Nothobranchius furzeri: one gene and its partners. The protein of the gene in region 3 purifies or fractionates together with the protein of the main gene of each other region. This does not show direct contact. Links are inferred from orthologs where the notes say so. Each region holds a gene or a part of one and is shown on either strand. Other genes may lie near its edges. The genes, in order: mtor, tnip2, tnfaip3, tnfrsf1a and rnf11b.

What was found.
Region 1: the proteins of tnfaip3 (region 3) and mtor purify together in Homo sapiens (affinity purification with western blotting, with the first as the bait; 3 studies listed by BioGRID). This does not show direct contact. The link is inferred for Nothobranchius furzeri from reciprocal best matches to the Homo sapiens genes TNFAIP3 and MTOR.
Region 2: the proteins of tnfaip3 (region 3) and tnip2 purify together in Homo sapiens (affinity purification with western blotting; 5 studies listed by BioGRID and IntAct, with this or other methods). This does not show direct contact. The link is inferred for Nothobranchius furzeri from reciprocal best matches to the Homo sapiens genes TNFAIP3 and TNIP2.
Region 4: the proteins of tnfaip3 (region 3) and tnfrsf1a purify together in Homo sapiens (affinity purification with western blotting; 7 studies listed by BioGRID, with this or other methods). This does not show direct contact. The link is inferred for Nothobranchius furzeri from reciprocal best matches to the Homo sapiens genes TNFAIP3 and TNFRSF1A.
Region 5: the proteins of tnfaip3 (region 3) and rnf11b purify together in Homo sapiens (affinity purification with western blotting; 3 studies listed by BioGRID and IntAct, with this or other methods). This does not show direct contact. The link is inferred for Nothobranchius furzeri from reciprocal best matches to the Homo sapiens genes TNFAIP3 and RNF11.

Annotation. Positions count from the first base shown.
Region 1 is NC_091755.1:52,420,741-52,425,315, reverse strand, and holds part of mtor (serine/threonine-protein kinase mTOR), read left to right. Parts: intron 1-758; coding exon 759-841; intron 842-930; coding exon 931-1,003; intron 1,004-1,080; coding exon 1,081-1,155; intron 1,156-1,318; coding exon 1,319-1,454; intron 1,455-2,619; coding exon 2,620-2,685; intron 2,686-2,775; coding exon 2,776-2,856; intron 2,857-2,944; coding exon 2,945-3,025; intron 3,026-4,320; coding exon 4,321-4,426; intron 4,427-4,521; coding exon 4,522-4,537; 3' UTR 4,538-4,575. UniProt on the Homo sapiens protein: Serine/threonine protein kinase which is a central regulator of cellular metabolism, growth and survival in response to hormones, growth factors, nutrients, energy and stress signals.
Region 2 is NC_091744.1:17,107,453-17,112,469, forward strand, and holds tnip2 (TNFAIP3-interacting protein 2), read right to left. Parts: upstream 3,463-5,017; 5' UTR 3,260-3,462; coding exon 2,936-3,259; intron 2,818-2,935; coding exon 2,524-2,817; intron 2,398-2,523; coding exon 2,308-2,397; intron 2,171-2,307; coding exon 1,925-2,170; intron 1,841-1,924; coding exon 1,724-1,840; intron 1,620-1,723; coding exon 1,350-1,619; 3' UTR 610-1,349; downstream 1-609. UniProt on the Homo sapiens protein: Inhibits NF-kappa-B activation by blocking the interaction of RIPK1 with its downstream effector NEMO/IKBKG.
Region 3 is NC_091752.1:25,124,650-25,128,269, forward strand, and holds the end of tnfaip3 (tumor necrosis factor alpha-induced protein 3), read right to left. Parts: coding exon 3,579-3,620; intron 3,440-3,578; coding exon 3,269-3,439; intron 3,157-3,268; coding exon 2,976-3,156; intron 2,872-2,975; coding exon 1,880-2,871; intron 1,766-1,879; coding exon 1,566-1,765; intron 1,434-1,565; coding exon 1,158-1,433; 3' UTR 1,019-1,157; downstream 1-1,018. UniProt on the Homo sapiens protein: Ubiquitin-editing enzyme that contains both ubiquitin ligase and deubiquitinase activities.
Region 4 is NC_091745.1:73,837,829-73,842,403, forward strand, and holds part of tnfrsf1a (tumor necrosis factor receptor superfamily member 1A), read left to right. Parts: intron 1-73; 5' UTR 74-95; coding exon 96-137; intron 138-222; coding exon 223-325; intron 326-407; coding exon 408-533; intron 534-623; coding exon 624-779; intron 780-851; coding exon 852-930; intron 931-1,529; coding exon 1,530-1,594; intron 1,595-4,060; coding exon 4,061-4,236; intron 4,237-4,323; coding exon 4,324-4,444; intron 4,445-4,525; coding exon 4,526-4,575.
Region 5 is NC_091748.1:56,842,083-56,847,447, reverse strand, and holds the start of rnf11b (RING finger protein 11b), read left to right. Parts: upstream 1-2,256; 5' UTR 2,257-2,887; coding exon 2,888-3,010; intron 3,011-5,365. Other genes in the region: ttc39a (tetratricopeptide repeat protein 39A), read left to right, coding at 133-249, 363-477. UniProt on the Homo sapiens protein: Essential component of a ubiquitin-editing protein complex, comprising also TNFAIP3, ITCH and TAX1BP1, that ensures the transient nature of inflammatory signaling pathways. Promotes the association of TNFAIP3 to RIPK1 after TNF stimulation.

The DNA of each region.
Region 1 (4,575 bases), on a different chromosome or scaffold from region 3:
AAAATTGTAAAAGTGCAAGATTTGCTGCTGAAGCACTACGGAAGAAAAACAAAACAAGTAGCCTTTGCGCTGCTTTTAAATGACCATTTTTAAAACGCCCAGTGCCCAAAAATTTGGCTGAATTCCCTCCACACCGCTGTGATTTATGCTCCTTTATGGTCAGAGAGCACCGTAAAAAACTGACTCTTCTGGTCATTGAACGCAACATTTTACATCAAACAGCTGCTGTCCTCGGACCCTGAAGTGATTTGATTGCAGCAAAATAAAACTTTTATTGTCATTAATGTCCGTGGACTCCTTTAAGCACTGATGAGTGACATCACTCACGGCCAAAACGTGGTGATATGCTGATGTTTTAGCAAAGTCCTGAAAGGGACGATTCAGTAAGGAGACACAACGGCTGAGAGGACAGAGCCATCGTATTTTTCATCATCTTCTTCCCTCCAAGAAACTTCCCGGGCCTCCTTGAGTGGAAACACGGAAAAGCAGCACCTGGAACCCTTTGCTGCTGATTATGGAGCAACTGGCCTTGTCTTTAAGCTAGGGCTGAGTGATATGGACTACAACTTATATCTCCATGTATTTTAGCTGAATTTGCCAGTGTTGAGCTTTTAGAAAAGGGAAGTTAAGATTCTGAAGTGCACGTCCCTCAGCCCTGGTCCTGAGGTCCCCAAACCAGATCCTGGAAAAGCAACAGAAAGCAGCTCCAGTTTTTATTCAGATACTCGTTTATTGACTGGACGTCTTTTCTCCTGCAGGTGTGGTTCGACAGGAGGACTAACTACACCCGCTCCCTGGCTGTGATGTCTATGGTGGGCTACATTCTGGGCCTGGGTGACAGGTGGGGTCCTCGCCCCTAAAATTCAGACTTCCTTTATCTTTAAAATCGATTTTCTAGCATAATTGAGGATTTTTTTGTTTTGTTCCCAGGCATCCATCCAACTTGATGTTGGACCGTTTAAGCGGCAAAATTCTTCACATTGACTTTGGAGACTGTTTTGAAGTGAGAAGATTTCCTTTTGCTGCTTCATTACAAAATGATGTAAATAATGTAACTTATTATAAATCAACATTAAACAGGTGGCCATGACCAGGGAGAAGTTCCCTGAAAAGATCCCATTCAGACTTACCAGGATGCTGACCAACGCGATGGAGGTACAAGACTCGTGTTAATGATGCTGTTCTTTTATATATAAAGTGGGTGTTTCAGCTTTGGAGAGAACTTGAGTCATCTCTCAAGACAACAGGAGCTTTTTAGGCTTCAAACAACGACTCTGGTGAGTTTGAAGCGGCTGATTTTGTGTCTGTTGTGTCTCAGGTGACAGGTTTGGACGGGAACTACAGGATCACCTGCCACACAGTGATGGAGGTGCTGAGGGAGCACAGGGACAGCGTCATGGCTGTTCTGGAGGCTTTTGTTTACGACCCCCTGCTCAACTGGAGGCTCATGGACAGTAAGCACCTGGTTGAGCTTCATTTTACACTCAGACATAATTTAGATTCTTTTCTTTGGGTCGATCTGAAGTTACAGACTTAAAGAGGAAAAGTCTCAAAGCCGCTGATGCAGCGGTGCATCGTAGACCTTGTGTGACCAGCTACAGAAAAATGCAAAAGAGCAGCTGTTTGAATCGATACAGAATTATAAAAACATCTATGATGTCATCTCCCTTGGGTGCAGGAACAAAAAAATATAAAAAGTATATTTGAGAGAATCTTGAACATGGATCATGGAAAAGTTCAAGTGGATCAGAGGTGCATGCGGCATCGCTTAGTCTGAAATTGAATGGCCCTCTAGAAGATACATGATCTGAAAGCACACGCGTGGGCTGTGATGGAGACAACATTTGAAACTCTTTGACTCATTTTTTTCACTTAAAGCCCCAGTGTGGAATATTTTTACTTGTTTACTATCAAATTCTGTTTATCCGTTCACAAATTTTTCATCAACATTTTTCACCAACGTCTATTCTAAGTACTCCTATTGGCTTCAAATGTAACCGTGTTATTTACATAAACTGTGGTTGATGCTCCATTGTCATGCACCATCTGGTATCTGTTTGGGGACATGCAACATATCGGGATGGCACCGGTTATCTCTACGGGTTCTCTGCCCCGCGCTGACTGCATTTGACACACCTGCCTCTCAGCTTTATATTACTCAACACTTACTTAATTCAAATTTAAATAAAATGCAAAAGTTAATCGCAGAATTGAAAGCTGGAAGCCGTCGATGACATATAGCCTTTTTGATGCGTGTGGGCTAGCATAACTGCAATAACTATTTTAAGCTTCTCGGTGCTAAAGAGTCAAGTATTTTCAGACACTAGGGCTTTAAAGCGAGCATAGATGCCCGTTGGGCATGAGGTGAGAAGGTCCTTCATCCAGAAAGAGCTGCTCCTAACCCTAACCTTGGATAAGTGACAGAAACGGCAGGAAAATGCCACCTGAAGGACAATTTTTTTATATATTTATTTTTTGCTTTAAGGTAAGTTTTTTGAAAAGACTTAACATTCAGTTTACTTTTAAAGAGCTACTTCCAGTTGGATGTTTCAAGATTTTCAAAATTAGGCAATAATAATCAAAAGAAAACCAACTTTTTTCTCTTTCCTTCACTCACAGCAAACACTAAAGGCAACAAGCGATCCCGTACCAGAACAGACTCGTACACCGCCGGGCAGTCAGTGGGTCAGTACACCACCAACTGCATTCATAACCACTTCCTGATTTTAGCACAAAAACAAGTTGAAACATTTGAACGTGTCGTGTCGACTGCAGAGGCTCTGGATGGGATTGACCTCGGAGAGACCACGCACAAGAAAGCAGGGACCACCGTGCCTGAATCCATCCACTCCTTCAGTCAGTTTCCTTTTGCTTCTGAAGCTCTTGAGTCTGATCTGATCTGCAGCTCCTTTGGTGTTTACTCTGGCATGTTCCTGTTTTAAAGTTGGAGATGGTCTGGTGCAGCCTGAAGCGCTCAACAAAAAAGCTATTCAGATCATCAACAGAGTTCGGGACAAACTTACAGGTGAGTGATGAAAGACGCCACTTGATAAACTGAAGTAACAGAATTCAGTTTTCCTTCCAAATGTACAATACTCATAAGGAAACCAGGAAATGTCCTAGTGTTTTAGGGTCAAGATGATGGCAAATTAAATAAATATGCATAAAATGTCTCCTAAGCGCTCGTGATTTTTATCCTGAGAGGCGCTATAGAAATGATATTTTCTTCTTCTTCTTCTTATTTTACTCAAAATGTCTCAAATGTCTGAACTGAAAATCTGTAAATTTGCCTTTGAAGAAATTTATGAGTTTCTAATTAATTTGAAATAAAAAAGTGAGAAACTTTGAATTTGATGGTGTTGATTAAAGGTCTGGTCTACTGAGAAACTGTTATTTTTTTTAAATAAGATCGGTGACTCTGGGTTGCACATGCATGGTGAAAACTTCCTTCATCCCCCATCGCCTGTGTTAGCCGCAGAAAGGAATTAGGTGGGAAATCGGCTGGTTTGGTTGGTTAGTATTCATGGCCCCGCCCACCTTGGATTGTGACTAGCCGTGGAAACGAGAGCAGAGCACATCTCAGCTTGTAGAATGGTAAATGGCGTGTATTTGATATAGCGCCTTCTAGAGTCCTGGAACCCCCCAAGGCGCTTTACAACACAATCAGTCATTCACCCATTCACACACACATTCACACACACATTCATACACTGGTGGGGATGAGCTACAATGTAGCCACAGCTGCCCTGGGGCGCACTGACAGAGGCGAGGCTGCCGAGCACTGGCGCCACCGGCCCCTCCGACCACCACCAGCAGGCAAGGTGGGTTAAGTGTCTTGCCCAAGGACACGACGACAGCAACAGACTGAGTGGGGCTTGAACCTGCAACCTTCCGATTATGAGGCGAGCGCTTAACTCCTGTGCCACCGTCGCCCAAGAAGCTAACTCTTACCATTAGCAACTCCACAACATAGTGGAACACGTTCAGGATTGTGTTGTGTGTGGAGACAAAACATCAATGATGCATTTTTTTACATAAAAAAGGACTTCGAACGGAGGCAGTGGAAGAGTCTTGTTGCTTAGCCAATCAGAGGTGAGACATTTGCGTATCATGAACATTAATGAGCACGGTGCATACTCCTGTCGATCTCCACCCCGCTCTTTTTGCTAACATCAACTTCCTGAAACAAGCGCCACAGAAAACTACTCAGTCATTCATACTAGAGATCAGAGCAGGTTTATGGAAAATACGAGTGAATGGAACCTTTAAAAAACTATTTAAAGCTCCAAGTCTTCTAAAGCTTCCTGAAAATGTTTCCAGGTCGAGACTTTTCTCACGAAGAGACGCTGGATGTGCCAACACAAGTGGAGCTCCTCATCAAACAAGCCACCTCACACGAAAACCTGTGTCAGTGCTACATCGGCTGGTCGGTACTCATCCCCGCGTTTTAGTTAGAGCTCAGACCCATCACGTCCGACTCCAACACCATCCTATTTTCTAATACTTACTTCTACCTTCTAGGTGCCCGTTCTGGTGAAGAAGCGCCGTTTCAGCTGAAGCTACACCCTCAAACAC
Region 2 (5,017 bases), on a different chromosome or scaffold from region 3:
TGTTACGTAGCTCATGAATGTTCGGCTTTATAAAAAAGTGACCTGGTTTTCTACATTTATTACTATAAATGTCTTATCTGACCTGAAATCAGCAGATACATAATTACACATATACACTCACAAAAATATTATAGTTGTTAGTCTCTGCCATGCAGTGCAACTGCATACTTCCTTTTTCAAGTAGGGGATGTCCAGCTTCCTGTGCTTACAACACAAAACCCATGACAACTGATTCACCAAACTGAACTATAGATGCCTCAAAGCGATACTTTCAGCAGCTAAACTGGACGGTGTTGTATTCACCCACTTATCTACAGAACAGTCATTGAGGTTTGGGTTTAACTTTAGCTGTTCCTCTCTGCACCTTTGCAACACAACAGCTGGGAATCTAGCTGTCACAGTGCAGCGTGCCTAATCAGGCAACACTGGGATGGGGCTTTCCACCGAGCAAACACACACACACACACACACGTGACATGCTTAAAACACATGCACACAAACTTAGATGAAGTAGCACCAACGTTTTTGTGGTCGGATCACGATCTGTGGTTGAAGCTACGTGCTGCAGATTTATCTCTCAGATGAAAAATGCACCACACAATCAAAAGCTACATTTCAATAGATCATATTTATAGGAAACAACATGTTTTATTACAAAAATAACATCTACAGGAAAAAAACTAAGTCTTTAAAAATGATTTTATGTCAGTTTGGATGCATTATTTACATATACTGCTTTAAAAATGATTGAAATATTTATTTCTGCCTGTCATGTATTTAAAAATACATGTTTACACAACATTTATGGCTTAAGTTGGATATAAAAACAAGACATTGCACTGAAACAATCACTCTTTTCCAATGAGAAATACAAATAAATATTAATATAGTTAGACTTTTTAAATCTGTCATTAAAAGAATATATTTACTTAAAGAAACACTAACAATAGCACCACATAAACAATTAGGTATAAACCCAAAGTAAGAAGCTTATGCATCAATAATATTTTAATCGCATTATGATAACACAATGGTTTTTTTTTGGGCTAAATAACAAAAAAGTGCAAAAAGATTGTAATTTGACATTGAGGTATATAACATTTTAAAAACTGCATTGGCATCTTCTCTCCCCAACACAGTAATCTCCTGCAGTGCCATGGGACAACTCTGTCTGGGTGTTTGTACAGATCTAAAACCATGAACTCATTTTCTCTTGCAAAATGGAAAGTTTGGGGTTATGTTCACATCTCAAGATGTCAGTTATTTAATCTGAACCTCCACCCAGGTTGCTTCCTGCATTGTAGTGCTGCTTTACAGTGTTCAGTAGAGAATCAAAAACTGGTTTTCGTTTATAGCCGGGCGCACTCTTCAAAATGGTTCATGCACTCTGCAGCTTCTGTGTCGTTGAACCTGGCGGAGCAGTGCGGACACTGTAGTTCCGACAGACCTGGGAGTTCGTTCCAATTTGTTACGTTTGCAGCAGCAGCGTCCACTGCAGGCGGCGGCGGCCTTTCAGCAGCAGCCCTTAGCAGAGGCTCTGAGGAGTCCTTACTTCGCCTCGAGGAGATCCTGTGTCCTATGTGAACACGGCACACAGAACCCAGGTCTCTGCCTGCTCCCTGCAGAGATTTACAAACACCTTGTCAAGCCACGTGGCTGTAATAAGTAAAAAAATGAGTGGATGCTTGTACAGAAGCATCTAAATGACGATCTGACACCTCACCTGTTTGTGGATCTGCTGCTTCAGCTGAGAAATCTGCTCCTTCAGGTCTGCGATCTGACCCTGTGCACGCGCTCTGTCGGCTCGCTCTGATTTAAAGTCGTCTGTATAAATCAAAACCTTACGGGGAAAACAAAACAACTTTGAAAATTCACAAAACGATTACGATCACTTTAAATGTGCTAATATTACATTAATACCAACCTGCTGCTCCAAGGTCTGGATTCGCTCTTGGCCTTGCCTCCTTATCTCCTCCACCTCTCTCTCCAACCTTGAACAGTCTCTTATTTTCTCCTCCAGTAAAGTGTTGAGCCTGGCGATCTCCTGATGAAGCAACACTGAGCTGACGGAGCCCTGCCCGGTGTTCTCCTTCAGCCTCTGACACAACCCTCGGATGTAGTCCTCCCTGCTTGAGTCATACTTCTGCCACTGAGAATTCAAACTCTGTACCTAAACAATGGAAATAAATAAGAAGCAAAGCTCAGCATTAGAAATTGTGTGTGCAGCTGATAACAGATTTGGTTGGAAGTAAAATTTTGCACTGAAATATAGGGGGAAATCTGTTGAAATCAAAAATACAAACGCACATAAGCTACGCGCTGCTTCAGCTGTTGGTTCTCCTCTTGAAGCTGATGAATTTGGGATTTGGCAGCACTTAGGTCAGAAGAGCTGGGCGTCTGGAATAAAAAGTCAAAAAGGGGTTAATAAATAACTCAAAAAGAGCAAAGAAGGCATTGATTTTTTATATTGTTTATATATATATATATTGAGCAAAAATATTATAAAATAAGATGAAATTGTACTTTTTGCTGCTGGGACACTTCCTCCACTTCTTCTCCGTCTCCTCCCTTCTTCTCCAGCCTGCCCAGCAGCTCCTGGCACACCCTCACTGTGGCGCTGAGCTGACCCCGCAGCTGGTCAGCTTCTTCGGCCAGCGACGTGCAGAGCACGGTCCTGGTGGCTTCGGCCCGCTGCTTCTCCTCCAGGGCTGTCCTCAGCCTGTGGATCTCCTGGTCCTTGTCGTGGTCCGGCTGACACCTGATGCTCTCCAGCTCCAGATCTTTCTCTCTGAGCTGCAGGTTCAACCTCTGGATCTCCTAGTTTGGGGGACACAAAGAAGAAAGTATGAGAAACCAACTTTTTTCCTGAAAATGACAGAAATAAATCATGCTTTTTACATATTTGAAGCTTCCTTTGGAGCTGCTGGTTTTTTACCTCTGCTTGACAGGATGCCTTGAGCTCCAGATCATCTTTCTTCTGTTTTATTTTGCACAGCTCCTTCAGTAAACTCTCCACCAAAGACTTGGAGGGACCGAGGAACACCCGCTCGTCGTCTCCCATCGTCATGCAGATCCTCTCATGCCTCCCGACCCTGGACTTTAAATCTGCGATTATATTGTCCTTTACGCAGATCTGTTTGTTGAGAAGCTCGATTTCCTGCCTCGTCTCGTGAAACAAAGTGTTTAACACGCTGTAGCTCCGCATTTTGTCCTTCGGCTGCGCCTCGTTCTCCGCCTTCAAACTACTCGAGCTATCCATCGCAATCGCAATGCTTAAAATTTGTAGATTTCGCGAAAAACGGTTTCAGTCTTTTAATAATCCAGCATTTGACGCCTCTGCCTCTTACTCTGAGTCTTTCAGAAACACACCGAGAAGGTGAATTCTGGAGGAGATCTGGCGCATCAGTGTCGAGAATATCCCCGGACGCTCTTGGGGGATTTCCTAGGGAACTTCCCCGCGGACTTTTCTGAGCGTCGTCAAAACGGAGCCTGGCTTTCAAAGACTCACTGCCGAGATCCGTTGGTAAAAAAAAGTGGAGGCTTGTCAGGCTGTTGGCACAAATTCACTGGCTGTTTGTACAAAAACACAAAACGATTCCCCTTTCTTGCTGTCTTCAGCTAGCTAGCGTCGGCTAGTTAGGCAACCAGAAAATTGATATCACTGCTGCATTCACTGCCGTCGTAAATTCGAGAACATTCAGCACAAACCAAACGAGTTCACCTGATAGAACAATCCCCACTCTACACATTTCGAATATTATTCACGTGAGTCACAAAAAATGCTAATCTAAGTTACATTTTTTGTGAACCCAGTATTTGGGTGGTGGCTTTCACCTGAAAGTATATGGCAACACAAATAGATGCTAACAAGTACAGTTTCCCAGTTACCAAACATCCCGTCCCTACCAATCACATCAGATGATTCAGTATATGAATTCCCCTCACAGTCCATTATTTTGTCCATGTGAATTTCCCCCACTGCATTTGATACTTTTTAGCTCATTATTATTATTATTATTATTATTATTATTATTATTATTATTATTATTATTATTATTATTATTATTATCTGAGTAATTCCATTTAGGCTAAACCAGAAAATTGATACATGAGTTTTGTATGGTCTTTTTTTTAATGGTCGTATGGTTCATTACTGCTTTCTTACAGCACTAAACCTGTTCCACTAATAAACCAACCTCATCATCACATGGAATCCAAGCATAACTGCACTACCAACACATGACCAATCTTTGCAACGTGTTATCAGTGAGATTACTTTCATATGACCTCATGTTTCTGATGCACTGACATTATTTGAATAATGAAAGATCAGTAAACATGCTCTTTTTTTGTTAGGCATTTCTTATGATAGCGAGTTTGATCTAATCTTTACAGGAAACGCAATGTAAATTTCTGTGGCCAAAAAAAATCTACCCCATTTCAGATTTATTCTGCTTTCACTTTTATTTTCACACCTAAATTTTTAAATATCAGACAAACTTGAGTAAATACAAAATGCAGCTTCAAATGAATAGTTTTTTTTTATTAAAGCTATCCAAACCAACTTGGTTCTGATCATGAAAAAAAATGTATTAACTACTTTATTTGGAAAGCTGAGTTCATATTCACTAGCTGCACCCAGGCCTGATTTCTGTTAGATCACAGTACCAACAGTCAAGCATGGTAGAGGTAGCATGATGGTCTGGGACTGCTTTGCTTCTTCAAGACCTAGATGACTTGCTGTAATTGTGGAAACCATGAATTCTGCTCTCTACTAGAAAATCCTAAAGGAGAAAATCTGACCTGTGACCCTACAAAAGGAGCTAATGATGGGAAAACTCCAAAGGTCCATTACATTTTCACATAAACAAGGTTGGTTAGAATAGGTTTTGGTTCTCTTTAAACACATTTTTAAAAAATAGCTTTTTGTATTTATGCGGGTCATCTTTGCTACTGAAATTTACTTGCTGGTCTAAAGCAAGGGTTAGGGTAACCCAACCCCTAACCCTCAGCAAAA
Region 3 (3,620 bases):
CCTAATAAGGTCTTTCTTTTGTTAATTCCCTTCTGACAGGACCGGCTACACTACATTTGTTTGTCTTGTAAGTGTTTCTAGGTGCTTAAGTTGCAAGTAAACATGAAAATAATGTCCAAGGCAACATATCTGTTTTTGGAGAAGAGGGGAAATTAAAGGAAGAGGAGGAGTGATGGCAAGAGTCCTGTCCTCACTGTGTTCTCTGCCTTCTGACGCCAGCATGTTGGCTACAAAGGAGAGGCTCGAGTTTCTGTACATGTAGCACCAAAACTAGCAGGGTCCCGCCCTGTCGGTCTCTGTTTGGTCACATGTTTTGCTTTGAATTCCCACATGTAGCTATTTCATTTAACTTAAAGAGAAATAATCAGCTTAAGAAAAACACACAAAAACCACTAAGAACCAAGGGAAGGGAAGAATTACAGTTTGAGAGTCTCAATATCTAGAGGACCAAAAAATATTGAAAAAAAAAAAAAGACTTTTTGAACAGCTGAGCTAAACAATATGGTTTCAAATCTAACTTCAAACATTTGACTTGCTTTGCTTTGGCTCAGTTCGCCTCACTTTTGCCGACTACTTCCACAGATTTTCTGCCCGGGCTTGCCACACTCACTGCATCCCTCGCTCGATCGAGCGAATGCTAGACAGACAGGCAGACTGATACACAGATGGGTTAGGACATACAGACGGACGGGGTAAAAATCCTTGGCTGTGGTCTATAAAGCAATGTCGTATGCTTCTTGTTACGCCAATATACAATCATTTTGTCCGGCACGATTCCTGACGTACCTCTAAATACGTACTGTACACAAGAGTTAGGTCAGTTGCTCTGACATGTCGCCAAACCTCTAACCGTGTAAGAGCACACGGCGGATCGGATGATAATAATTGCACAAAGAGGTATTCTGGAGGCCATGTCTAATGCAAACACACACACACACACACACTCACCAGCCCCCCCATGTACACACACACTCTCGCTTCACATTCGACATGGGGGAGGTTGATTTTTCAGGCCATAAGGTTACTAGTTAGTCACTAGCTAATTAGTTGGTTAGTTAGTATCAGAGGTGCATTGACTGGCATGGGGAGCCCGCTGCAGGGCGGCGGCTCTAGCGTGCTACCAATGAGTTGTCGTTAACGCTCCGCGTCGCGGGTGATCAGCCACGGTAAATCTGTTTGAAGTGGTGGCACTCGTTGCAGTAGCCCTGTTTCTCTTGGTTGGCATAGTGGTCACAGCCCTGTGTCCGACACCTCTGCTTTGACTTTTCTTTGGGCGCCTGCGCCCGTCTGCCGGCCTCTCGGCCCTGGCCACGCGTGTGGCACTCCGGGCAGAGGTCAGTGCAACCCGGGGACACGTTACTGCAGCCACTCCGTCGACACTGAGTCTGGGTCTGGGATTGCTGTGAAGATCTGGGTTTAGCTGCCCGGTCGCGCTTTTTATAGAGAAAGAGGGAGAGAAAATGGGGAAAAAAAGGACTAGTCAGCAACTGAGAATTAGATATGGGGTACTGTGAGAAAACTACTGAACAGGAAAAAAGACATCAGCTGTTTGAGCAAGAACCTACCAGCGGAGGGGAGTGTGGCGTCCTGTGTGCCACTTGGTTAAGACGTGTACTCTGCTCTTTGACGTAGCACTTATCACAGTAGCCCTCCAGCATTGCTTTGCCAACTGCACCGCATCCAGACCCTCGACAGCGTGTAGCGTTCTGGAAACCTGCCTCCAAACCAAGTCTGTTCTGGACCGGAGCAGGAGGAGGAGTCAAGTCTGGAATAAACAGCCACAAGCATAAGCAACAAGCCAGATAATTCATCAACATTTATAGTTTGATAAGGTATTTATTTTTAAATGTCTACATGTTCATTTTGTTTCAGGACTTACGATGATTGGTCTGATAGTCTACATAGCAAATAGTGCAGAAACCCAATTTCTCTGGTGTCCCAAAGAACTGGCAGCCAGATCTTTTACAAGGCCGGGCCAGAGGGGTCTGCCAGGCCGACGTGGGTCCCGGGGTCAGGGTGAGGCACGGCTGCTCAGCGTCTCTGGTTTGGCTCCAGGCAGAAGCCTCAGTCCTGGGGTTGCTCTGCTGTGGCTCACCCCTTTCTGGAGCCTGCTGCCTCTGCATGCAGGGTGGGCACAGACCATTGAATATCCTGAATGCTTCCTGTCTGCACATGCTGCACCGCTCCGTCTCTGTCTCGCGGCCTCCCCACTGGGTCCAGCCGGAGCCTTGGGGTGGGTGGGGAACGACTGGTGCTCCGTTGGTGCCTGGGAGTCCTGTAGCAGCTGTTCCAGCTCCAGGGGGTCCGTGGTTCTGTCTGGCGTTGAAGCAGCGCTCACAAAGTCCGTCGTGCTCCACACTTAGGGTGAAGAGGCAGCCGGGTGTTTTGCACTTCATGGCGTGAGTTTCACTATAAAGGCTGAGGCTGGGAGCGGTGGGCGGGGCAGAGCGGGGGCTGGATAACACCACCCCTCGTCCAGAGGAGGAGCATGGGGGACTGCTGTTTCGAGCTCCTCTGGAGCTCACCTCAGCCTCTGACCCCCCCATTGCCCCTACTCCTCCCTGTACACCTGCTCCCTTCGTCTGCACCACCCCTTCTATCCTCGCTCGTCCTCCGGTGGTGGCTTGTCGTTTCTCGAAGCACTCATGGCAATGAGGCTGAGTGTCCACAGAGACGTAGAAGGTGCATCGTGGCGTGGCACACCGGATCTCTATGAGGGACAGTTGGGAGACGGAGAAGGGTGGTGGGCGCTGCGGCTGGGCGGCCCACGCCTGCTCCTTGTCCTCCTGCCAGCGCTGATACTCGTGGTTGACGAGCTGCAGGTAGTCCTCCATCAGGTTCATGTCCTCTGGAAGGTTTCCCTCGTCCAGCCTTTGGACAGTCACAATGTTCTGTTAGCCCTTTGATCCTCAGACACATTACTGGCCAACAAGTAAGAAACTTTCTCAACAATCAAGTTTATAATCTCTGCATACCGAGCAGCTTTCATGATCCACGTAGTGTCATGGCCCAGGCCTATAACAGGGATCTCTATGATGTGCAGGTAGTCGTTGAGAAGCCTCTCTTTCTGCGGCTGCTCCTTCTCCATCAGGAAGTGAACCTTCAGCTCCTCGAAGCCCACTCGTTTCGGGTTGATTAGTGGAACTGCTCGAATCTCTGGACGATCAGTTCAAACCGAGATGTTAGACAAAAAATAAAATAAAATAAATAAAAGAATACAAACATACTAGATCTTTATCCCATGCTGGTTTCCCTTTCGGTGCCCTACCTGGACCGCTGTCTTTGATGGTGATAAGGGGTGCAAAGTGCTGAGAGTCGTAGCCGAGCACTAGTGGATATTTGTAGCAGTCTGTGGACTTCCACTGAAGAGGCAGGTAAATCCCACCCACATTCAGAGGAGAGATGGAGGAGCCAGATTTCATGCTCCTAACCACCTGGTCTGTTGAACAACAAAACAAAACACTAAAGTTTACAACTAAACAGCCCTTTACATCAACAAAGAGACTTCTACGCCTTCGTAGAGCAGAAATCATTACAAGTCTAGCAAGAGGAAATAAAAGAACTTTGAAAGTGATTACCTGCAATGACGATGATGGGTCTGCGGAGAATGTTGGACAGGA
Region 4 (4,575 bases), on a different chromosome or scaffold from region 3:
GGTTGACCAGTAATACACACACAAGATTTTCTTTTGTAATTTAAACATTTTAAATTCTAGTTTATTCTTCCAGATGGATTGAATTGAAGTCCAAAATGATGGCAGGAAGGCTGAGGATCCTCCTCCTGCTCTTTGAGGTGAAAAAAATTTTTAAGACGCAAATGCATGTTAGTGGGAAACCCTGCCTTCATTTTCCTGCTCATTGTTTATCGTTACTTTCAGTTCACATTCATCTTTGCCGCTACGCTCAACTTAGTTACACCCAAGTGTCCAGTCGGTGACTACGAAAACAAAGATGGAATATGCTGCAACAAATGTCCTGCAGGTAACCTTTACACGTGACGGGACCTGTAAAGAATGTGAATTCTGACTTTGCGTTTACTTCTGTGGGATCATTTTGTTTTCAGGGTTTAAGCTGGTTGCAGAGTGTCACAGTGAAGGTCACAGAAGTAATTGCACACCCTGTCCTGCTCGGCAGTTCTCCGACCAGATAAACAACGCTTTCCAGTGCAGAAAGTGCAAAACCTGCAGAGGTGTGACTTTAACTTCTCCAGACTTCATTTCTCAGCTTGCACAGCATCAGATTAGCTGTAAAAGCTTTAATTTTGTCAACTTTTCTGCAGCAGCACGAAATGAAGTTGAGGTTTCACCTTGTAGAGCAGCTCAAAACACCATCTGTGGCTGTAAGGTCGGCTATTACAAAAACCACATTGACAGTGAAACGGTTGAGTGCCTCAAGTGTTCGAGATGCAAACCAGATGAAACGGAGGAGCATGCATGTGAGTCTTTAAAGATTCTTCTGTAATAAATTAAACAACCACTCCGTGGTAAAGCCAGTTTTGTTTTCACAGGTACTCGAGAGAGAGACACCGTGTGTGGCTGTAAGGAAAACTTCTACAGAGTCAGAAACAAGTGTGAACCTTGCAGGAAGTGAGTGCATCGCTGTCCGACGAGTCCTTGGTTCTCGTTTTGTTTCCATCTTCGAGTTTGGGAAGGTTTTTTTGTAACATTTTAATTAAGGAAGTTGGTTTGTAGAAATGAAACTTGCAGCTCACTTCCGACTTTGTTCAAGCTTTCCATTTGTTAGCAATACAGGAGAGAAGTTATGACACACACGTCTTGAGACTCGCTAAAAAAAACCTTTCTTATTCGCGTCTACTAAAAGTCTGTTAGCGTATAATGACCTCTCTTATCTTCTCCTAAAATGCTGCGTTGAGTGTTTTTATTTTTGGTTCTTATAGTCGAAGATGTTTGACACAAATCAAACAAGGAAGCACAAAAACTTGCAGCTCAAACTTCCTATATTTCTGTCATGTTTACATCCTGGTTTGCATAAACATAAGAATCTTTCTGAGTTACTGGGACAGTGACTGGTTCAGCTCAACTTTCTGTGTAGTCGAACTTTGAAACCAGAGCTACAGAAAGCTGGAGTTAAAAAAAATACATGTCAGCCTTTGCGTTAATCACTTCCTCTGAAGACATGCTACTTCCTCCTTGGTGCAATGAAACATCCTGTTTATCCTCCACAGTTGTACCACAGGCTGCTCACAACACTGCATGTTGGAAGTGGCGACAGAAGGTGAGCGCCAACCAGGTGACATGACGCACTTGTTTCTTCTCTTGCCATATTTCCGTGTTCACCGTTTGAGTTTTCCATTATTCTTTCAAGACCAAGTTCACTCGGTTTTGAACCACATTTGCAGTGGTCTCTAGAATAAATGAATGCCTTGTGCGTCGAAATCTGTGGGGAAAAAAAAAAGCTCTAGCGCTCCTGTTTCAGAACTGGAAGTTAGCCAGAGCGGAGGTGAGCAGAACACGGCAGGATTTGGAGTCTTATTTCCTGATATTCAGACATCTCCCCTCTGATTGGATAACCGTAATGGGACTCTACCACTGACTCTGTTCTGCAACGCTGATGTTTTATCTCCACAAATAACACAAGCCTCAAGGAGTTCTGCTGGGTGGTGGAGTTGCTAATGCTAAAGGTTAGCTTCTGCTAGTTGAGACATTCTCTACTGTTTCCTGGATGTTAAAACCACAAAACCCTTTCCGTCACGAGTCAAGATGGGTGAGTCCATGAATGTCAAGTGACAGTGTGACATAGATCAGTCAGGATTTTCAAATTCTAGCAATTCACCATCAGAAGCTAATGCAGGAGATAGGTGTAGGAGCCTATCAGCGTGCACGGTAAACTCACAGTGACTGATTATATTTCATTTTTTACAAGTTGAAAACGGCTACACGGTGGTGCACTGGTTAGCATTGATGCCTTGCATCGGGTCAGAAAAAGCCACACAGATCTATCACCCAATAATTTTTATTTTTCAACTTTATTTTCATTTATTGACAATAAAAGAAAAATACAAAACTAAATTGCTAACAGCCAAAATGAAAAAGGGGACAGAAAGAAGAAAAACATATGTTACCTGCCACTTTAAACTAAAATAACATTAATACAAATGAAACTATCATATGATTCTTAAAAAATTTGAACAATATCGTTTCTGGACTGGTTGGCCGACACAACCTCAACCCATGAATTGAAAAAAAAAAAGAGAAAACAAGTTACACAGAAAGAAGCATAAAGTTATATACCTATATACATACATATATACACATATGCATACATACACTTGTTTCCTTTTCCCTCTATTTATTTTTTTTCTTTCATCCCCCCCCCCCAACCCCCCTCCCCTCACGCGTTTATGTAACAGGTCTATATAAGTTAATAATTTCATTTTTTTATCTCTTTTTTGAAAGTCAATATTGTTTTTGCATTCTTGATTTCAGTATTTAATTTATTCCACATTTAACTCCATATATGGGCACACAATGTTCCTTTATGAGTATCCTATGTCTAGGTATATTAAATAATTCATGTCCTTTTAAATGATATTTGCTATGTCTTTTTGTAAATCTGTTGATTAAACCTGCAGGTGTGTACCCTGTGTTTGCATTATACATACATTTTCAAATATTGTAGTCCACCAGATCACAGAATTTTAGTGTTTTTAATTTTATAAATAATGGATTGGACGGATCTCTGTAGTTGCATTAATCGGCTCACCCATCTTGGCTCGTGACGCGGAAGGCAGATTATTTTTTTTTTTGCAGCCATGAAAAAGCAGAGCACATCTCAACTAGTAGAAGCTAACTGATAGCATTAGCTTTTCCCCAGCATGGCAAAACTCCTTCAGGCTTGTTTATTTGTAAAACATCAGAGCAAATGGAGGCAGTGAAAGACTCTCTTTGCTGTTAGCCAATCAGAGGCGAGACGTCTGAATATTGTGAATATTAATGAGGAAGGCTCCAAATCCTGCCGTTTTCTGCCCCTCTCTACTTCCTGAAACAGTTGCGCCAGAGCTTTTGTTCCACAGAGAATGATTGACAAGGCGTTTATTTATACTAAGGTCCACTGCACACTTATTGCAATAATGGGTGAATGAGACATTCAAGAGAGCAAAACACTTAACACTAACCTATGAATCACTGAGACAGTCTCCTGAACCTGATGATGATTCATCGTTGTGTCAACACAAATCAGCTCGGCACAGATCCTGTTTTAAATTGTACGTTTAAGCTCTTTGTTACTTTAGTCTTGTGAAAATGAGGGAACATGTTTCCAATTCTTTAGCTGAGTGCATGGCAAAAACCTGAGGCGACACATAAAATAATATCTTAGCATTGTCAAGCTAGTTTTCTAAGAGATATTGGCTGAAAACCTGAAAATCTGCTTGAGGATTATGAATTTTCAGGTCCTGTTTTTGGAACTTTGCTGGATTTTTTTATTCTTTTTCCCTCCGATAGATTTATTCTTTAGACCTGACACTTCTTCTTTTGCCCTCCGCTCGTGCAATTCCCTTATGTTATAAGCATAGACCACAAAATAAACCGTCACGGTCAGGAACAAAACACGATTCAACGTTTAGAAAGCCTGAAGACTGGCCAAGAACATTTTAAAGGATCACATTCAGGTTTGGTTATTGGTGCTTTAAAACTTTTGCAGTGTGTTTGTAATGTTCTGTTTTATAATATGCATTTATTTTGTTTTTCCATCCAGGCCCTGAGCCCAAAAATCACCTGCTAATAAATCTAGTTGCTGGATCAGTAGTTGTGGTGCTAGTCTTGCTGGCGTTGGTGGTTCTGGTCACCTTCTTGGCTACAAAACGGTTCACCAAGAAGAAGATGCCGACTCTGTCCTCCCAGACTTCTGAAGTTTCCGTGGAATCCGGAAAGGTATCTTCACCCAACAGTCTGAGGTTCTCTTGATCGGTCTGATGAACGCTTGCGGTCAGTCATGTGTTTTCTACTCTCGTCTCCAAGCATCTCCTGATCTACGCTGAGGGACCTCCGCAGAGCATCTGTTTGAAAGCAGCCGCTCAAAACCCAGTGGGTGAGCTGGAGCTGTCCAAGCTGCCTGACTGCGTCCCCCTAGAGATTAAGAGTGAGTTGATAGCAGTCTGCTCTGACTTCGACATGCAGAAACCCACAATGTGAACTCTGACCGTGCTCTCCTCTTCTGCAGTCCCAGAGCTGATCTACGCAGTGCTAGATCTGGTTCCCGTTCTGCAGGTG
Region 5 (5,365 bases), on a different chromosome or scaffold from region 3:
ACACATATGCATGCATGCACACACACACACACATACATATGTGCACACACACACACATTATATAGAACTTTCATTGAAGACAGAGGATCTAGGGTGACTGTTTTTCTGATCTACCTTTGTCGTCCTCTGCAGCGAGACTCTGATCAAGTACGACCACTACCTGGTTCCTAACGCTCTGCTGGAACATGGGCTTCTGTGTCTGGAGCAAGGCAGAAAAGATGAAGCTATTAAACTACTAGAAGCAGCAAAGTAAGCATTCAACTCTCAAAACATACATTTGTAAAAATCACATTTACTTTTTCAGTGAAAGACCTGATTACTGCTTTAATGGATTCAACAGCTAAATCCTCTCTGATTTTCAGACACAACTATAAAAACTACTCCATGGAATCACGGACGCACTTCCGTATTCAGGCTGCTTTGCACAAGGCCAAGGGAACCGGGGAGAATGGCATCCTCGTGCCCTCTAGCCCATAACAGAAGTCACACCAGTAAAGTGACAGCTTCCTGTCTCTGCTTACCCACAATGCAACATGCCAGACCAGCTCTACTCTTTAGAACTAAGAACTTTTTTAAATTCTAGATGAAGATGGAGTGTTTTTTCCTCAGTTGTGCCCTTGTTATGGACCTCTGCAGCTTTGTGTGCCTTTGCTGGCCTTGTTCACTTTGCCACGCCCTCTTCCAGAGACACATTACAGTTAGTCACTTTCTCACACATATTTTTTTTAACAAATTGAGTGGAGAAATGTGTGTTCATGTGTTTATGAAACACTGCTTCCAGCATGCCTTTTGTCTCTTTCACACTGGTTGCATTTGAGCAGAAACAAGGTTAAATTTTTGTGACATATTCAGTGCTTTGTCCCAAGTGATATGCTCAGTGCTGGGTACTAGACCTGAACCTGGTGGAGTTAAATAAAGCCTCAGATACATGACACACGAACAGCAGCACTATTTAAGTACCGGGTATAAACCTGTTCCACTGTAATGTTAATGTAGGTTTTGGAAATGTCTCACTTTCCAAAACCAGCTTGTTCTGTTTTAATTCAGAATGTGGGATCATGTGTTTACACTACATGATTGTTGTGTTTGTCAGAATCGAGGGAGCATCTTACTGAATATAACCCTGTATTCACAGCTTATGTTTTGGTTTTTGCACCGAGCTTTGTGTATCGCCCATGAAACTGTCAACTCTTGGATGTCAAACGGCCTGGGAGAGTTGGTCTTTACATTTATTTACTGTAAATGGCATCTTTTACATGAATTGTCCTGTTTTGAGAGGACAGATGAATGTGTCTTTTAGAAAAGGCAGACTCCCTCCTTTTCTCCTCCTGGTGTGTGGGACGGGCTCCAGCAATACTTGAGCTTGAACAAACAGGCCATTCACAGCAAGCGGCGTAGGACTGCGAGCTTGACTGCCGGCTGTATCTTTAGTGGGTGAAGAAACTCTTAACCCCCAGCAGCCATCAAGTTTTCACAGCTTGTGTAGACTTCAGTCGACTTCTTTTGCTGTTTCTCTACCTGCTATCCTGTTGCTAGAGCTACCAACAGAAGGACTTGAATGTAAAACCACATCCTGTGTCAAATAGTTATCTGCAGATGAACAAATACAGCTTTCCTCATAAACGATTGGCGAGTGGGTGATTGAAAAGGCTGAGCACCTGAAACCTGACAGTTCAGAGAACTCACATGGTGCCTCAAGAGTTGGGATACAAGTCCTGCTGATTTATTTATAACTGAGAGAGGTCTGGGGTACAGTTTAATTGTCTGAAGTCAGTGTCTAATATTTATTGGTGGAGGAAATGTATTATTAGAATTGTTGCAACTGCAGCGACTCTAGAATGTGTTGATTCTGCAAACTAATCATAATTTTCCCCATCCTTTTAGCTTTTACACTTGTATAAATGGAAGAAATTCAGCATTCAAAATTTTGTGTTTACACGTTCTGTATTGTGTATTGGGCATGGTTACCCACCAAGCAGGATGACTTCCATTTACATTTTAGTTGTGATTTATAATGAAATATATACTTTTGTGTTGTATTCTTTCCTTTCCACGTCATTTAAGTTCAATAATTTTTCAGCACACAGAACAAAAATGACACAGGTTGTTTGCATTAATTTGGTTTTGGATTCTAATTTAACAAATGAAAAAATGGCTTTGCAGACCAGAGGCCGCCATGGAACACATCTCATTAAACCGAGAGCTTCAATAACACAACTGATGAATGGTTTTATCATATAAAACTCAGAGGACAATTCCGATCTGCAAAGAAATCGTTCTTTTGGTAGGAACATGACTCATTTGCAGATTAACGTTGTGTGTTTACGTTTTCAATGTAAGGCAACGTGACCAACCATCTGATTGGCTGTCAACAAGAACTTCGTGAACGAAACTGAAAGCTGATTGGTCAGTTGTTTAAAGGAGCCGTCCCCCACGTTGTACGTCACCCAGCTTTTGTCATTGTTCAGCAGCTGCTTTGGAAAGTCCCTGGCAGCTAGATCGGACTCAGGCTGGAGAACCGTGGAAAGCTGTGTCACGTTAAATGAAGAAAGCAGTTATTTTGCTCGCTTTCTTCCTTCTGCTGATATAAAATTATGTTAAAGCCGCGATTCTGCGCCCAGACGTTTAGATGTTCCCCTCAGAGTGCTAGCTAGTGTTAGCAGGCTAGCTTTTTGTGTGGCTAGCTGCTGGTCTTAGTGATGTTTTGTTTTTGTTGAAGTAGCCAGCCCTCCCGTCGTCTGGGAGAGGAGCTTCATCAGCTGTGAATGGAAAAACGTCCTCTCGACGTCTTCTTATTTACTGACATTTTCTGTGGAAGTGAGCAGTGAAATCCGCTGCTGGTAGAGCGACGCGGTTAGAAGGTAGAGTTTGATAGAAGAGGAGGGAGATGGGAAACTGTTTAAAATCTCCGACCTCGGATGATATTTCTCTGCTACACGAATCGCAGTCGGACCGAGCCAGCTATGGAGACGGTGCTGACCCAGATCAGGAGCCACCGCCCCCCTATCAGGTATCTATTGACATCATAACTAAACTAGCTGTTGTGGTTTGATTCATTAAAACTAAACTTCACACACTGTGTGTTGTTTAGACATTTTGGTCCTCTTTACAATTTGTTTGCATTGTCTGCCTGATGACAAAGTCAGAAAATAAATGTTGGACGAACATTTTGAGAACCGGAATCAGCTGTATACAGATTATCTGACATCGTCCGTAGACAGTAACCCTACCCACTGACTCAGTCCTTTCATGATACTGTAAATAATCCTCTTTCTTACATCTTAAGGTCATTCTCTGTGCATAATATCTTCACTGTAATTTCTGCAGCACTGGTGTCTTAAATATCACCTGGAGAGTGAATTCATTCAAACTCACTAAACCCTGTGGTTTGGGTTGATGATGTGAAGGAAAAAGAAGCAAACATCTGTTATGAGCTGAAAATGACAACACAAGCTTTAATTCTCAGTCTTGAAACAGGCTGTAGCGTGTGTGTATTTTAAGAAAAGGCTGACTTCTCTCCTGCTTCTCTGACTGAACACCTTCAGGCAGCAACTTTGTTCTTGTCTGTTGTCCTTACTCCCTAAATTAGATCATCCAAACATAGACCAGGTCATGTCGTAACTGTAAATATTAGATTTGCTGTAAAGTATTGTGTGTGTGTGTTATTTTAGGACACTGGTTTAGAATGCTTGTTTCTAGGTCAAGTGAGGTCTTATCTGTAGGCTTTAAGATTGGAATTGTTAAAGCTCAAGAGAATAAATGCAGTGTCAGAACAACAAATGCTTTCATGGAGAAAAGTGACACAATCCTGTTGTTTTCATTCAAAATAAACAAATTCTATTAATTTAAGGGATTGGTTTGCAGTAGTTATTAAAAGAAAAGGACAAACTTTTATGTTACATTAAACTATAGAGAATAATAATAAATGGATCACAAAAATGTAATGATATCCAAATAAGTGAGCCATCTTGTGTGTGTGCGCATCCTGATACACTGATTAAATAATATGCAAACTGCATCTTCTCACTGTGTACACTATCACTGATACATTTGACCTTTATGAACAATAAATGCTGATTTGATTTGTCATCATTGCAAGTCATCCTTAGACTAGTATTAAACTACTCTAGGGGGGTCCATGGGCATGCCCCCGGTAGAAAACATTGGACATTTTATAGTGAAAAGCATCAGTTTGGTGCATTTTGAGTAACAGGCTGGTGAGAATGTATGATAAAGTATCTATACATGTTCACAGCATTATTATGTTATGTTTGAATGAGCCTATGTTGTAAGTAAATACATATCTTGGTAAGTTTACTCAAAGTTCCCAGATGTGTTCTTCCTCCGTCTATTGTATCAAGGATACATTAATGCATCTTTCTGCGGACTTGAGACAGCAAAATATGCTATACTGCACTGCCGTTTCTTGTTTTGCATACTCGTCTGAACTTGTGTACTCCCATCCTTGTGAAACGTCATCAGTGATGGCCCAAGTACAATTCCAATCCTAAGAACTCCTGTATGCAAGTACACAAGAGTTCCCGGATGTGTTCTTGCTCTGCCCATTGTATCGAGGATGCATCAAAGCTTCCTTCTGCGGACTTGGGACAACAAAGTATTGCTTAATGCATTGCGTTGCAAACCATTACACACAAACAACAGAGGAGAAAGCTTATAACTGTAGTGTATCAGAAATACAAATAAAGAAAAAAATATAGAGTTGTCTGTTATTGTAAATAATTGTGTGTAACCTGTAAAACTCGCAGTGTGAATTTTTTTATTTTCCAGACTCTTCATAATGTCTTAAAATGCAAATTAGGTGACCAACTATTAAAATAAAAGTAGCGTTGCCCAAAATAGCTCTGTTTAGATGAAAAAGAAACTTTTTTTCTTCATTTAACAATTGGGAAAGTAGGTATTTTATGTTTTTGATCAAAAGTGGACCAAGTGTTATACAAATATAATGTATTTATTGTTATTTTGTGTTTTAGAGAGAAACTAGACTTCCATTTTTATGTCCGGTTGTTTTTGTCATGACACAACGGAGTACGGTTCTGTTCCAAATGCCATCCTCATCCTCCCGTACTCAGTAGAACAGATTTTCAGGTGTGCTTGCCAAGAATATACTTGTCAAGTACACAAGAACATACCAGCATACTTGAATATTGAGAAACTGCCATTGTTTACTGCCAGAATTTCACAGAGTGATTGACATTGATCATTCTCTTATCATCTTTTATCTTTCTCACGGTCTTGCTCTGGGGCATTTTTATTTTGCTATTTTGAATAGAAATGTAGCATGCCATAGCGCTGGAATGACCACTTCACGTTTATTTGGGAGATTTTTTTTTTACCAGCAAATTTT